Lytechinus pictus: one gene and its partner. The protein of the gene in region 1 binds, or shares a complex with, the protein of each later gene. Links are inferred from orthologs where the notes say so. Each region holds a gene or a part of one and is shown on either strand. Other genes may lie near its edges.

Region 1 (7,444 bases):
GAATATATTTTTTTACCATAGTTTTTCTTCGACACCAACAAAAAGCTGTTTACAGGGCATTTTAAACTATTTTATACAGGTGGTGTATAGGGAGTGTGATGTCAGCAAACATGTTTCTGGTTGACCTTTTTATTCATGGACCTCAGAACAGTTCCCTCCCCTAACTTAATGTATACAAGATGCCCCATTAATTACCCTTAACTATAGCACAGTGTGCATGTCTGGCTGAAAACAAGCAATTTAGTATGTGAGTCGCTATTTTACTAGAAGTTCACCATGTTTAAAAAAAACAGACTGCCTTTTATTGTTGAGTAATAAGTTTTGACAATATCAAGTTAAGGAAGTGTAATACAATTTTGACACAAGAAGTTTGTCTGGCATTGGAGTCTTGCATTAAATATCAATCATTTGGGTACAATAACTGGTGGCAAATACAACTAGAGTTTAGCATGAAAAGATTGAATGATATCAAATCTAGTTCACAATGGATGTCAAATAGTTTTGTGTATTTGCCCTTTTCACTTACATCGTCACCAAAGCTGAAGTTTTTGGCATTTAGAAGACCCACCAGTGTGGTGTAGACAGTGATCTTCTCTGGAAGTGCGACAGCGCTAAATAGAAAAAAAAGCACATAAAAAAAAGGTTAAAAAAAAAAAAATCCATATACATGTAAAACCGCCTTACGTACAAATGCATTGCATGATTTTTATTCATCAAGATAAAAGAAACATAGAATCTATCAAACATTCACATCTTTACATGAAGGTATAAAATGTATTAATACATTGTTTCAAATGAATACTTGTTCAGTGTTCACAAGAAGGAAGATACAAAACATGAAATAGGAATAAACTTTTATATTCTTGAATTACCCATGAAATGATATCAGAGTAACAATTGAAATGGAATTAATTTTGTATTGGTCAGAAGATGTGAAGGGTTTGTGTAATTCTACTGTCTACAAAAAATATGTTCATATCATGTTGATGCATGTACACAAAACTAAAAAATCTTACCATTCGCACAAGATTTTGATAATCTTTGCTTTGTAGTTGGGTAGATCAGCCTCTAACACCCCTGATAGCCCCTCCAAATTACTCTCAAGCGATGAAGTACTCTACAAAAAAATCACAAAAAGTTAATTTTTGCTATAATTTCCTATAAATGTGAGTACACTTTCTTGAAGATCTTTGAAAGAACGAAAGAGCATTACATTACAAGAACAGAAAGTTGGACAAATTACTAATTTGTACAGTAGCATAACAAAAAAAAGGGGAGAGAAAGATATGTTATACAAATGATGCATGCACATGAGTTCATTAGGCGATCTATCCTCACGCGAGTTGAGGCTCTGTTCAATCCATTGCACGAAGCCGTTAGGCTGAGTGCAATGGGGTGAACACAGCCTCAACGAGAGTGGATAGGTCGCATAATGGACGAATGAAGGCATGCATCATTTGGTTTATACAACAAATTATCTAGATTTTGTTTTTTTACAATAGATAAGAAAAAAAATCAACACAAGCAGATGGAATTAAGACATATTTTGCCTTTGTTTGACAATTCATTTTCTCTGAAAATATTTTTGTTTTCCCGGTATGAAAACAGTTAATTGTTTTTGTTTTTTTGTGACGCACTTTGATTCATGAATCTGAGTGCGCGCAGTCAGCCTGGTTGATGCGCTTACTTCGATGCGCGCAAACACACACACACAAAATGTACGTAGACACGCATGCTTAGTGGTACACACTGAAGGAGAAAGCTCAACCGTGCAATGGAAAAATAAAAAATGCATTGTCGCCGTGCAATGGAAAATAGAATTTGCATGCAGCACAAAATGGATCAAACATTTAATGGCTTTCAACCAATCAAATTACAAGATGTATGAGTTGTATAATTTGTACTGAACCACTGGTAACATTCTCTACTTTTATTCACTCAGTATTAAAGGAAATCAATCAAGGAATTAACAATATGACAATCAATTACTTAGTATTTCCGTTGAGTCCTTTTACCAAAGAATGTAAAACATATCAGCTCTGTTATACAGTGCGTCCCACAAAAAACGAAACCGAGATTTAGCGATGATTTAACATATCTTAATCATAAATACAATAGACAAATGACCTACCAATGTAAAGCTTAGAATCTCCTCTTTTATCTGATATTACTTATATTATTCCTCATTCACGCATGAGTGAGCAAAAACAATTTGAAGAAAGGATACCAAAAACTCATTTGGCGGGAGTATCTGAATTTCATAAAGAAAATCACATGCCTAAAAAGTTCAATATCTGCTCTTTTATTTGATATCTTGATCACAGAAAATGGTTAAGAAGTAAAAAAGATATGTTCCCTCGAAACAATGCTTGTATTTCCATAATTTCATTAAATGAACGAGTTTTCATCGGTTTCCCACAGAAGCTATACGGTAACAAAAGACTTAATGCATGGCTGATTGTCAACAAAACAGAGTGTCGAGTGAGTTTGAACGCTGGCCTGTAAAACCTCTTCATTTTTATGAAATTATTGAAATTCAAGCCTTATTTCAAATAACCAGAACTTTGTTACTTCTCGACCATTTTCTGTAATTGAGGTATCAAATTAAGCAGCAGATATTGAACTTTTTGAAAATGTGGTTTTCTTTGTGAAACCCAGATACAGCCCGCCAAGTGACTTTTTGGTATCCCCTTTTCAATTTTGTTTTGCTCACTCATGCATGAATGAGAAATAATCTAAGTAACTTCAGATGAAAGAGGAGATTCTAAGCTTTACAATGGTAGATCATTTGTCTATTGTATTTGTGATTAAGTTATGATAAATCGATAAATCTCTGTTTCGTTTTTTGTGGGACGCACTGTATAAATATATATATATATATAAATGATTTTTCTAACTCATTCATTAATTCATTCATTCAATTACCTTCTCTCCAACTCTGGTGATCAAAGACTCCAATCTTTCTTCAATCTGTGCATTGTCTGGCCTTCGTCGTTTGGACCTATGGCCAGTATCCATTTCTGATCGATAACAAAAATAAAATATAAACGATTGTGATGATATCTCTATCTTGATATTATATGACATAGAAAACATGTGGATCATGGAACAAGTTAGCTTGAGGGCAGAAAAATAAATGAATAACATCTACAAAATTTAGAGAAACATTTGACAAATGATATTACATGCAAGTTATGAAAAATCTGGCCATTTCACACCAAATTCTATTGGCAGATATATTTCATTTTGGACAATTTCCCCCATCTAAAATCACAAAATATACACTTTTTTTAAAATCATCCATATTTTAGCATTCATAAAGCAAAACAAAATAATAAAAAAGAATTTTTTAACATAAAGTTTGACATTAAATAATAATAATAATACCATCATGCTTATATAGCGCATATCACTGCCAAATGCGTCCCTATGCGCTAAATTGGATATTATTACCCTGGCTTTAGCCTCGCAGCCTTTTTACAGCGCGTTGGCATTTCAAGGAATAAATTCCTTCCAGGTACCCATTTAACTCACCTGGGTCGAGTGCAGCACAATGTGGATAAATTTCTTGCCGAAGGAAATAACGCCATGGCTGGGATTCGAACCATGGCCATGCTTTAAAAATTACTAGTTGCCTGATTTGGGCCATCAAAACTTAGCATTTTTCAATGATGGTTGCCCAAGTTAAATTTCTGGTGGCCATGGGCCACTGCTAACGTCGTGCCTTGTTTAATGTCTTTACCTCTGTCTTCTTAATCCAACTTCAAACTTTCAATCTTTGTCAAAATTTCATCTTCATGATCTTCATCCACATTTTTTCTTCTCTTTTTAAAATTATCTAGAGCTGTTAGATTCAATTGCTTTGGCGTAAGTGCAGAAGCAGAATACCCCCACCACCATGTTGAATGGCTACAATCTACACACAGTACTATGGCAAGTACCAGTATGCTTAATTTGGAAAGTGGTGGGGTATTCGGGCATGCACTTTGATAGACTAATGTCCTTTCACAATTGGCCATTGGCATATTGCCATAGACCTTATCGCAAATAGCGTTCGTCGCTAAGTATCAAAGTATCACGGAAATGAAAAGGGAGCAAACGCGGAATCGGCTTTCAGAAAGCCATACAACGCCATATGTTTTGTGCAGTATCACTCAAAATCCAGGCTTTTTCAAGTCTGATTTCTTCGTATTGAAATTATTTTGGACACTGAATCTGGATTTACCCGGTATAGAACAAAGTTTGTACCATGATTGCACAGTGAAAGTATGAAATCAATGCTCACAATATTTTCATAGTTTTCTGGGGCTAAATTTGGGAAGATTTTGTGGGAAAAGTGAGCATGGTGATTGCGGGTCAAACGGCCGATTGTCTTTAGAACAGATTATTCGGCAATCAGAAGAGAGCCTGATGCTATTTTTCCATTAAAGAATATTGACGAGAATCATAATGTAGACCATAATATATTTTATCTCTATAACTAGTAAATTTAGCTAGTTTTTGTTATTTCGGGGGAAATATAGTCCTTTGCAAATCAGGCTTTTGATTTTGATCATTACAAGATCTAATGTTAGAGAGGGGGGGTGTGAGACTCGAGGATCAAGCGGCCGGAGAGACCAAATATAGTATATTAAAAATAAGCTAGTGTGTGTGTGTGTATATATACGTACAGTATATACAGTGCGTATAAAAAAAACGGGACAGTTTTGAAAAGTCTATAAAAAATTTGTTCCATATCATTATATCTATATTTTGATGTTAATAGATGGTCTGAGATCTTATCTTTGAAATGCCATTTTAAGAAATAAATTCTGTTCATGCTTGAGCGAACACGGGACGCTTTTGTTGGGGGTTCAAAAAGAGGCTTGCGCCAAAATGACAGAAATGAGAAATTTGATGATTAGACTTTTGGCTAATCAGCAGACTTCCTCTTCATCTTAATATTATCTTTGCCATAATGTTTGAATTATTCTGTCAAATTTCAGTTACAAATTTATTTATTTACCTGAATTATTTTGTTTTTCATTTTAACTTATTTTACCTTGGAATTTCCTTCATATTAGTAAGAAAAGAAGACTTCTTGTCAACCCAAGTACGAAGATTTGCATTATTAATTGGGAGAATTTGTAATTATGCAAATCCCTTTTATTAAGTGAAACAAATTATGTTATGGTACCTATAAAAGACATGAATCCTATTTTTAAGGTGTTATTGAATCCTTCACCAAGTTTAATTATGTGCTTGACAGGACAAACAGGAAAGGATTCATGTCTTTCAGTGGCAATGGTGTATTGAGTCAAGTTTGAAGGAGCAAGATATGGCAGATCTGGTAAAATGTATTAAAAAGTTGTGAAGCGAGCAAGCAAACTTTTCTACTTTTTAAAATTTAAATATCAATTTTTTTTTAATTTAAATATCCATTTTTTTTATTCAGAAAATGATATCATATTTCACTGTCTATGTTTTCTGTTATTTCCCTTTTTTTTTTTTTGGGGGGGGGGCACCCCGAACCCCCACCCATCAGTATGCCACTGTTCAAAGGCACCATAACCTTTGTAGCACACAATGAAAGGATTTGAAGAAAAAAACACGCTCTCCCATACTTCGGTTTAAAAAAAATTGTTCTTGCCTAAAGAAGGAATATTCAAAGCTAAAAGAGAACAACCAAAGAACAATTCAAGCAAATTTAAGTAGATTTGGAAATGAATTTTAACCGCATAATTCGAAAATTATGGCAAAGATAATGAAAAGGTTAAGAGGAAGTCTGCCGATTAGCAAGAAGTCCGACCATCATATTTATCATTTTATGCCATTTTTGTGCAAGCCTACTATTTAACCCCAGACAAAAACAAGCATGAACGAAACTAAATTATTTTAATGGCATTTGAAGGATAAGACTTCAGAGCACCTATTAACACCAAAATATAGAGATCATAATTCGAAACAAAAATTTTATATACTTTTAAAATCTGTCCCGTTTTTTTTTATACGCACTGTATACATATTAAGAAATATATATATACATGTATATATAGGCCTATGACATGCAGAATAAAGATTAAATAAATCCCTGAATTTAAAACATTTTATGAAGCCGTATAGGCCCTAGTATTCTTCATGGTCCCCCTCTAACCTCTCTGTAATTTTATTTTGTCTAAAGCAGCTGATGGAAATTTAATTCATATAATGATACATATTCAATTTTCTTAATAAAACAAATATTATTTCAAAATTTGCATCTTCAATTCTCGCTACCCCAAATAGCGATTTCGCCGAGATCCGGGAAAATCCCTGTAACGTGCATTGCATTATGGGATAGCTTTTCGGTATCACAACTTCCTGTTCGGAAGTCCAATGCACTGTTTTGCCATTCAGATCAACAGTGCCATCAGTTCAACACAACGTCGCTTTCGCTCGGAAAGTTCGTGATCACAACCAGTAGCGTACCGTGAACCGCAGGAGACAAAGCACTGGGGGGGGCACTGCATTGTCTGTGAACAATGCTTTGCCCCCCCCAATGCTTTGTCTCCTCCGAGTCACGGTACGCTACTGATCACAACCCTCTCTTTCACGATACAGTTTAACGGCCTTTTCTGCTAAAGTCACTAATTCTGCCCGATGCTTTCCATTGCACGGTATTCCTCTGTCAGTTAAGATTTTTTTAAGTTCCGAAACTGATTTTTTATCCATTTTGTGGTCGACGAAAAATTGAACGGAATGAAGGCTGTATATATTTAGCGTCTGGTCGAATACGATCGTGATGTCAGGCCGGTCGCTAAATGCAAAATTTTAAGATATTCATTTTTTATAACCAAATAAAAACACGAATAAAAATTATTTTCACGTGAAATATATATATTTTTTAAATTTATAATTCAAATGGAATCAAAACTGACCAAATTAAATAAAAAGTATTATAATCTGTACATATTACGCTGATTGGCATCGATTTCAGCATGGTGGAAAACTCAGTATCGGGGCTCACAGGCCTAATTCATTTCCCATAGACTCGTGTGTTAAAGTGGCACTTAAAAAGAATTCATAAAAAATAAGGAGGAAATTTGAGGGTTGAATGTTTACTACCAGTGGATAGGATAAATGTCTGACATTCCATATCTGACCAGAAAAGGGTACCTCGACCGGCTCATTTTGAAAATAAATCCGCATTTATGAAGACTACACCTGCTGGGACCAAATTCATCACTTGAGTGAGTAAAATGACCCTAATTCTTCCGCCAGTAAAAATATAGTTCCATAATGGTGATATATCTTTCCAATTTGGAAAAAGTAAGTTCAGTAGGTACCCTCCCTAGAATCAGTGTTAGATTGTCAGTCATATTCATTCATTTTTGTCAATCAGCAATATCAAATTTAAAAATTGAGCAATGGGTTTGCGACCATCGCGAACCTCGCGCGAGCATGACTCTGAACCGGAAGTGGTGAT
Region 2 (7,863 bases), on another chromosome or scaffold:
AGAATTTATCAAATTGAAAATGTTCTCTTGACTCATTTTAAATTCATATATACCAAACATAAAATTTGACTGTCTAACATCACCATTACATAGATTTGTGTAAAGGATACTCTATGAAGCAAAAACCGCAAGGCGTTCTCTTGACCTTGTCGAGCCCCATAACAACACGCTTGATATCACCGCACTTCGAGAAGACCTCATAGATTTGTTCCTCCGTGGTGTAGAAGGACAGGTTACCTACATACAAAGTGCATGAGTCTTTCAGCTTCCTTTCTTGCTGGTCCATAGAGCCCTGCAATGAATTCATATAAATAATAATTACCAATTAAATGCCTTGCTCTCTGTTGCTCTTTCTTTAAATCATCTAATTTTCCATCCTGCACAGATCGGGCCATTTGTCTGAAGAATTAAAGTCATCATGGGACTGGTAAACACTTTACTAACATGAATATCAGTATGTGGGACTAGAGTGAAATTTCAGATCAGATAATTGCTATCTTTGGAAGAGTTTTAAAATGTGAAGAAATAAAATATCATCATTGGATTTAATATATTTTGTCACTATCATACTAATAATTAACATACACGAAAATCAAGTAAAAAAATTATTTGTCCGGGGGTCAAACTCAAGGTCAAAGTAAAGGTCAAGACCTTATAAATCGCTCCAATTCATTATTTGATGCATGTTTTGGATTCCTCTCTGAATTTCCTTTTGAATGGTACCAGTTTTGTGAAAATTGGTCAACACGTTACGACGCAATGGCCATTGAAAGTTGAAGGTCACGCCCATTTTTGTCAAAACAAGGAGAAAAGGGCGGGCCGTAGCACGAGAACCGACGGACCGATTGGACTATTTTTTTTGTTTTGTGCGTGGGCCATGGTGAATTTTATGTGTACCAAATTACAACGAATTCTGAGAGGGTCGGGTGCAAAATTGCACATTCATTGGGTGAATTGGCATGGAATGACCCTTCTGCCTTCCTTCATTTCTTTCTGTCTTTCACTCTATCTTTCTTTTCTTTCTTTCTTCTTTCCTTTCTCTCGTTTTCTCTTCCTTCCATCCATCCTTTACCTTTTCTTTTTCTCTCCTTTTACCTGAATTTTCTTTCTTTATTCGTTCCTTTCTTTCCTTCTTTCCTTTCTTTCTCTTCCCCTCAGTTTTTTTTCTTTCCTTCCTTCTTACCCTTCTTTCTTTCTTTCTTTCCATCTTTCTCTTCCCCGCAGCCATTCTCTCTCTCTCTCTCTTTCTTTCTTTATTTTATTTTTTTTACTTTCTTCCTTCCTTTATTTCTTCCTCCTTTCTGTCTTTCTTCTTATTTTTTTTCTTTCATTCTCTCCCCCTCTCTTAATTTCTTTTTTTTTCTCTGGTTATTTTCAGTGATTTCCCCTTTTTTATTGTGTGTCCTAGTCCCCTCCAAAATATATGGAAAATATATGAGATTAGGAAATAAATTAAAGAGCATATTGACCATACATTTTGTCATGATGTACAAGATAAAAATCATTAAAAAAAAGAAATACAGCTACAAGGTACATCAGTAGTCATGTTGAAAAATATATTAATAAAGCCGTCAATGGTATGGTATGTAAAACCGTACGCCTATAACTTGTTTTGAAGCAATAAAACTTTGTTTTGAAGGATTTTTTCGGGCAAGTGAAATCTATATTCAGGCAAGTATTTTCCAAATTTGAAAATTTACTTGCCCGACTGGGCAAGAGCTTCAAAAAAGTTATGTAGCACCCTGTTTAAGCCTGAAGAATATTTTTGAAAAGTCCGCGAAGTTTGGACACCCTATCATACAAATAATCTGAGCTTTATATATTTTGATGAAGAATAATGGACGCTAATGCAGTTTCGCACCGGCCGATTACCAGCATACCTCATCACCAATACTTGTTCCCAAATGTCATGACAAGTCTCTCAGTCACATTTCGAGGTCAATATACCCACCTCTTTTCCAAATATCGCGATCGGGAACGGCTGTATTTCAGCTTTGATCTCGATGTCGTTGTTCGAATCCTCAGACATCACTTCGCGGATCGCTTGGATTCGCCGTGTGCCGTAATGTTGATATGGACTGAAGTTAGCAACCAAATCATGCTCACATGTGGCGAACAAACTGCCAGCATGCTGCAGGCGAATCTTTTGGTCGCATGACTTCAGTCCATATCAACATTACGGCGCACTGCGAATCCAAGCGATCCGCGAAGTGTTGTCTGAGGATTTGAACAACGACATCAAAGCTGAAATACAGCCGTTCCCGATTGCGATATTTGGAAGAGGTGGGTATATTGACCTCGAAATGTGACTGAGTGAGAGTGAGAGATTTGTCATGACATTTGGGAACAAGTATTGCCTTGGTGATGAGGTATGCTGGTAATCGGCCGGTGCGAAACTGCATTAGCGCCGAATAATTAATGTTCACTCTTTTGAATTCTGGAATTAATTAAAGCATCAATTGGTATTTTGTGTGATGAGAATTTCATGAATTTCTCTCCGATTTCATTTTCGTCGTCGAGACTTCTCGCGTGAAGTTGAGATGATTTAGCAGCGCAGCATAGAGGCGTGACATCATGTACTATCGATAACGCAATCGGTATCATTCCTCTGAACCCAGCTCGGTGTTGGAGCTCGGTTCAGCGGCCTTTTTACGCTCTCAACACCAACACCGAACTTGAAATCACCCAATGCCATGCCAGATGCCGAATGAAGCAACGTAAAAGTGAATGCGTGGGGTTGTGTAGGCCATAGGCCTAAACGAAAAAAAAAACGAAACAAGGGGTCAGTTTACAGGGTGTTATCAACTAAATTCAAACAATTTGACAGTTTAAAGAAATCATGAAAAATCATACCCTAAAATGCTGGTCTCTATAGGCACTAAGCTCAGTCATACGGTCTGATTTTAAAGCCATTTTCGGTACTTTTCTGCCAGTCCCAGAGAGCGAAAAGTTCCAAGCGAAACGCCAACAATTAGTTTTTAATGAAAACGCCCTCTACGCTATAAACGCTATAGCGATCACCTTCTTTATTTTGTATAGTGAGGGAAAAGCAAACAACAGATGCTGTAAATTTATGCTTCAATATTTAAAACCTAATCTCTCAAACCCATACAGCCATAAAGTTTACCTTACAGAACAGATTTGAAATAATTGGAAACCAATGATCATAACCTAGGGGCCAGACCGGGGGGGGGGGGGGTGGCGTACGTCGGCGTCCAATCCATGCAGTTTCTAATTGTATTGACCTGCCAAAATCTTTCTTTAAAAGATTAAAGTGGAAGTTCACCCTGACGATAATTTGGTTTTAAAACAGGAGAACAATATATATATATATATATATGACGATGTGCATAAAACTGTTTTCACAAAATATTGATAAACTTTAAAATTCAATAACTTCGTTATTTGTTATCTGATTTTGATGGAATTTTCAGCATTTTGCTTTGTGAATTTTACTCTATTTATTCAGATATAAATATTTTCAGCCCGGACCATCCCTTTAAGTTTTTAAAGAATACATTTCTATCCAGTAGACCCATTTACCTCACCTGGGAAGTGAGCTCAGCAAAACGTGGATCAACTTCTTGCAAAAAAACCCCACACCATGGCTGGGATTCGAACCCATGACCCTCGTTCAGGGGACTAATCCACTGGGCCAGTGGCGTACCGTGGGTCACGGCATTGGGGGGGGGGGCATAAGCAAAAATTTTGAGTCACTGTTGCCAGGTATACTGACCTAATAGAAACATTTTAAGGACAGTGCCATTAAACGAATATGTATCTCATTGATGAAATATTGCGAGCAGGAAGCGCGAGCTGAAAATTTTTGATGTTCAGACCTAAATTGGGACATTATAAGCAATTTTTTGTAATCATGATACGTACCCGTCTCGCTAAACAAACAACGCGAGCGCGAAGCGCGAGCTGAAATTTTTTATATATTGACCCCAAACAGGGACATTTAAAGGACTATACTTTAGGAATCCACGAAGAGTATACATATCTCACCATAGTCATCTAATGCGAGTGCCAAGCGCTTGCTGATTTTGTTAGAATTACATCTAAACACATGAAACACTTTTTGTAGTCATTATAATCATGATTATCATACACCTCTCACTAATCAAATATTGCGAAGCGCGAGCTGAAAATTTAGGAAATTCAGACGTGAAGAGGGCATTCTAAGGCTTGTTTGTTGGAATGCACTAAGACCATACGTATTTCACTAACCAAATGATTGGAGCGCGAAGCGCGAGCTGAAATTTTTTATATTCAGATCAGAAAAAGTGACACTTTAAGGACTGATTTTAGGAATTCATGAAGATCAGACATATTTCACCAATCCTCTAATGCGAACGTAAGCACGCACAGGAAATGTTTTATATTAAGACCTTAAAATGGGGCAATCACTTTAAGAAGTCATGAAAAAGAAGCATGTTACTACATGAAACAAAAATAACTCGAAGTATATTTGGTGTATATTGACTTGAAAACGGGAGGCTTTAGTACAACAGGATTATAAATCTCGTTAAAAAGACAATGCGAGCACCAGGAACAATAAAGACTTAGGCCCTGAGCAAATTATGTTTCATAAAGTTATGAAAAAATATGTCATATGTAATATAACATAACATGATTATAATATAATATATGAGTTCTTATTCAAAGGAATTTCATAGTGCGAGAGGTTTGCATTTGGTGAAAAGATTCTGCAAAATAGTGTGCAGTGACTTTCTAGAAACTTTAAATCATGTGTAATATGGAGAGGTGGGGGAATAGGACTGAGCACCGATGGCGCTCCAACCCTATAATTTGTTTGAAATATACTAGTAAGAGGAAAAACACGCTTCTTGTCATTTTTTGTCTTTTTAAATATATTTATTCCTATACAATTCAAGAAAAGGAACACGTTCTTAAGCATCTGTAATGATGGTAAAGTTTGAATTTCAAAAAAAAAATAAAAAAATCCCCCCCCCCCAAAAAAAAAATCGATTAGACATTGTCCACAGCTTCGACTTTCTTATACATTTTGTATGTTAATATGGTTAAAATAATAGTTCAATGCAACAAAAATACCGTTTCTGCTTCAATTTAATATGGATTTACCAATTACTTGTGTTACTTTGACTGGACTATAAGGGATAATTATGTGTCTAGTATTTATCTGGTGTAACTGCGGAAAATCGTACTTTAATATTTCCCTCAAATTCGGGGAAAATGTGTGTTAGTGTGTGTAAGGGTGTGTTTGTGGGTGGATGGGTGTGCATGTGTGGTTATTTTGACATTTCTCTCGAAATCATCGCTCACTGCCATTATCAGCCTCGTTCAGACATGGAATTCTTCTATTACGCATGGATTAAAATTCAAAATATATTTCTCCAGTCTTGTCAAGACCAAGACAAAGGCTGTTTTGGTCGGAGGAAGCCCAGCCGGTGGAAAAGTAGGAGTAGTGCCCGTCTGGACAGAGTTACCCCGACCTTACTCCGACCAAGATACTAATACTGGTTTGCCTTTTATCTACACTGTTAAAAAAACCTGATTTTACAGAAAAAAAGAAGATTTTGCAGAAAGCAATAACAGAATCATTCTGTAAATTCATAAAACAGGAATTTTTCTGCAATTTAACAGTGAGAACAAGTCTGTTTAAAAAGGGGGAAAGGGTGTTTTATTTAAGGAAATTTGTAAGGTTCCATACACCAAATACCAATTTTCTGTAAGATTACGCAATCTGGTAAGATTACAGGTGTTCTCGAGACCGTGCTGCAGGAACTTCTTTTATTTTAAGGTTAACTTTTCTAACAGTGCATGTACACTCTTAAAATGTTGGGCAACATATACTCTCCACACAACAATAAAAAAAATTGTTTAAAAAATTTATCCAACTCTGGGTAGCTTTCAACCAATACTGAGTAGTTTTCACGCACCCAAAGCACACATGATTGGTTTAAAAATACCCAGAATTTTATAAAGTTTTCACCAATTGTTGTGTGGACAGTATGTTGCCCAACGATTTTTGGAATGCAACCTGACCTTCCTGGCACGATTCCTTTGTGTACGATTATTTTTTTCATCTAAGGATTGAGAATTCCAGACGTTTTTAATTGTGTTTACCTGCCGTCCGAATGATCTTATGTTAGATTTCTTTCTGCCTAATAAACTTTCAGAAGTGAAAATTGTGATCTGCGTGTTGGTTCAGATAGAGCATGATAAAAAGTAGATCTTGTAATGCATTTTAGTTCCAACGAAGATATTTATTTTTAGAACTATAGCAAAGTTTTGACGCAAACACAATTTGATTTATGTTAGTGAAACCTTGAAGAAGACGTGCCCACGTCAAAACTTTGGTATTTATAAGAATGACAATCTTCATTGGAAATGCATTAAAATTCCTTTCCTTTTGTAACATGAATTGATCAATTCAAGATATATGTCATTTAAGGATGTTATCAAATAGCAGTATGTGATCTAAAGTGTGTTTTTTAAAATCGTTCTTTTTCTGCAGCAGTAATATCCTATACAAAATTGTTAGTGTTGCATTATATTTCCATGCAATTATTATTCCATTATTATATATGGTAAATTAAGGGTGAAATATAGTGTAAACAATGTGCGAGAATGGAGAAAATGTTTGAGCTTATAAATGATTCAAATGTTTCTAGTAATTGTTATACTTATATCATCGATGTGAGACTTCCCGAATAATTTCGTATCAATATGAACACCCCACAATCCTGTAATAGAAACAATTTCAAGGAAAAAACATATATGGGAAAAGGAAATATTGACTATAAGTAATAAAAAGAGGCGGACCATCACTATGAAAAAAAAATTAGTCAATCATGACTAGTTAATAGGGTCAGCTGGGTGCAACTGTTATTCTGGTCATATTTGACTATTTTCTAATCGTATTTTACTAGAACAGAGTTATTTCTGACTAGAATATAAAATTATGTCAGAAATGTGACTATCAGTTGCACCCAGATGACTACTGGCCTAGTCAATTTGACTGATTTGTTTTAAGAGTGAAGGTCGCTACTACATGGGACGCCACAAATAATAATTGGACGAGGAGACAAATTGCAATTATTTACTGATACAAATTGCGTCCAATCAGTGAGGTCATCAACCACTCCCAAGGCCTTCCCTCTAACTCCACAATGACAAGGCTTGCGTATAGAGAATTTCATGATTTATTGTGACAAAGGCCTTAGAGAACTCAAGGATGATACTGACAGTTCACCAATATCGTATAAGTGGTGAATTAACTTAGAGAAATTGCATGGAAATTACTATGGTTTTCACGGAATCCAAACTGGAAGTTTGAAAAAAAAAGCGTTGTTATTTGAAAAATTCATTTGTTTCTAGAATTTTGGATAGTAAAAAAAAGATTAGGACGGATGTTGGACGGCTATTGGAAACGAGTTGGTTATCACCTTTTTAACGATAGTTTGACTTTAGAAAGTGTCATTTTATCGCCGGGAACCTGTCAAGTGCTTAGAAAGATATTGAAAATGTGTACCAATGGATCAACGATGGCTGTGACAATCTACATATAAACTTAGGCATACCTTCAGATTGCTAAGAATGTTTATAATTTCCATCTAATTAGTAGGATTAAATTAAAAGAAAACCCCATGGAATTGGGGTTGACAAGAAATCATATAGGATTTATTATCTCGAGGCACTTTCTTAGCCAAGTTGTTGCCAACTTGTGAAAAAAAATATGGATTGAGCTTGTGATTAGATTAGTGTCGTCTGTGATAGCATTGAGTTTTTTGCTTGTGTGCGTGTGTGTGAATGTAGAACTCCTTTTTTTCTTTTTGTTCAATACACTATTATTATTCTTTCAAGTGACACAATTTT

The links.
Region 2: nuclear cap-binding protein subunit 1-like (region 1) and nuclear cap-binding protein subunit 2-like share a complex: the UniProt entries of both Drosophila melanogaster proteins name them as parts of the nuclear cap-binding complex. The link is inferred for Lytechinus pictus from reciprocal best matches to the Drosophila melanogaster genes Cbp80 and Cbp20.

What each region holds. Positions count from the first base shown.
Region 1 is NC_087249.1:29,004,044-29,011,487, forward strand, and holds the start of nuclear cap-binding protein subunit 1-like, read right to left. Parts: upstream 3,019-7,444; coding exon 2,926-3,018; intron 1,118-2,925; coding exon 1,017-1,117; intron 612-1,016; coding exon 527-611; intron 1-526. UniProt on the Drosophila melanogaster protein: Component of the cap-binding complex (CBC), which binds cotranscriptionally to the 5'-cap of pre-mRNAs and is involved in various processes such as pre-mRNA splicing and RNA-mediated gene silencing (RNAi).
Region 2 is NC_087260.1:6,057,712-6,065,574, forward strand, and holds the start of nuclear cap-binding protein subunit 2-like, read right to left. Parts: upstream 3,004-7,863; 5' UTR 2,914-3,003; coding exon 2,854-2,913; intron 293-2,853; coding exon 111-292; intron 1-110. UniProt on the Drosophila melanogaster protein: Component of the cap-binding complex (CBC), which binds co-transcriptionally to the 5' cap of pre-mRNAs and is involved in various processes such as pre-mRNA splicing and RNA-mediated gene silencing (RNAi).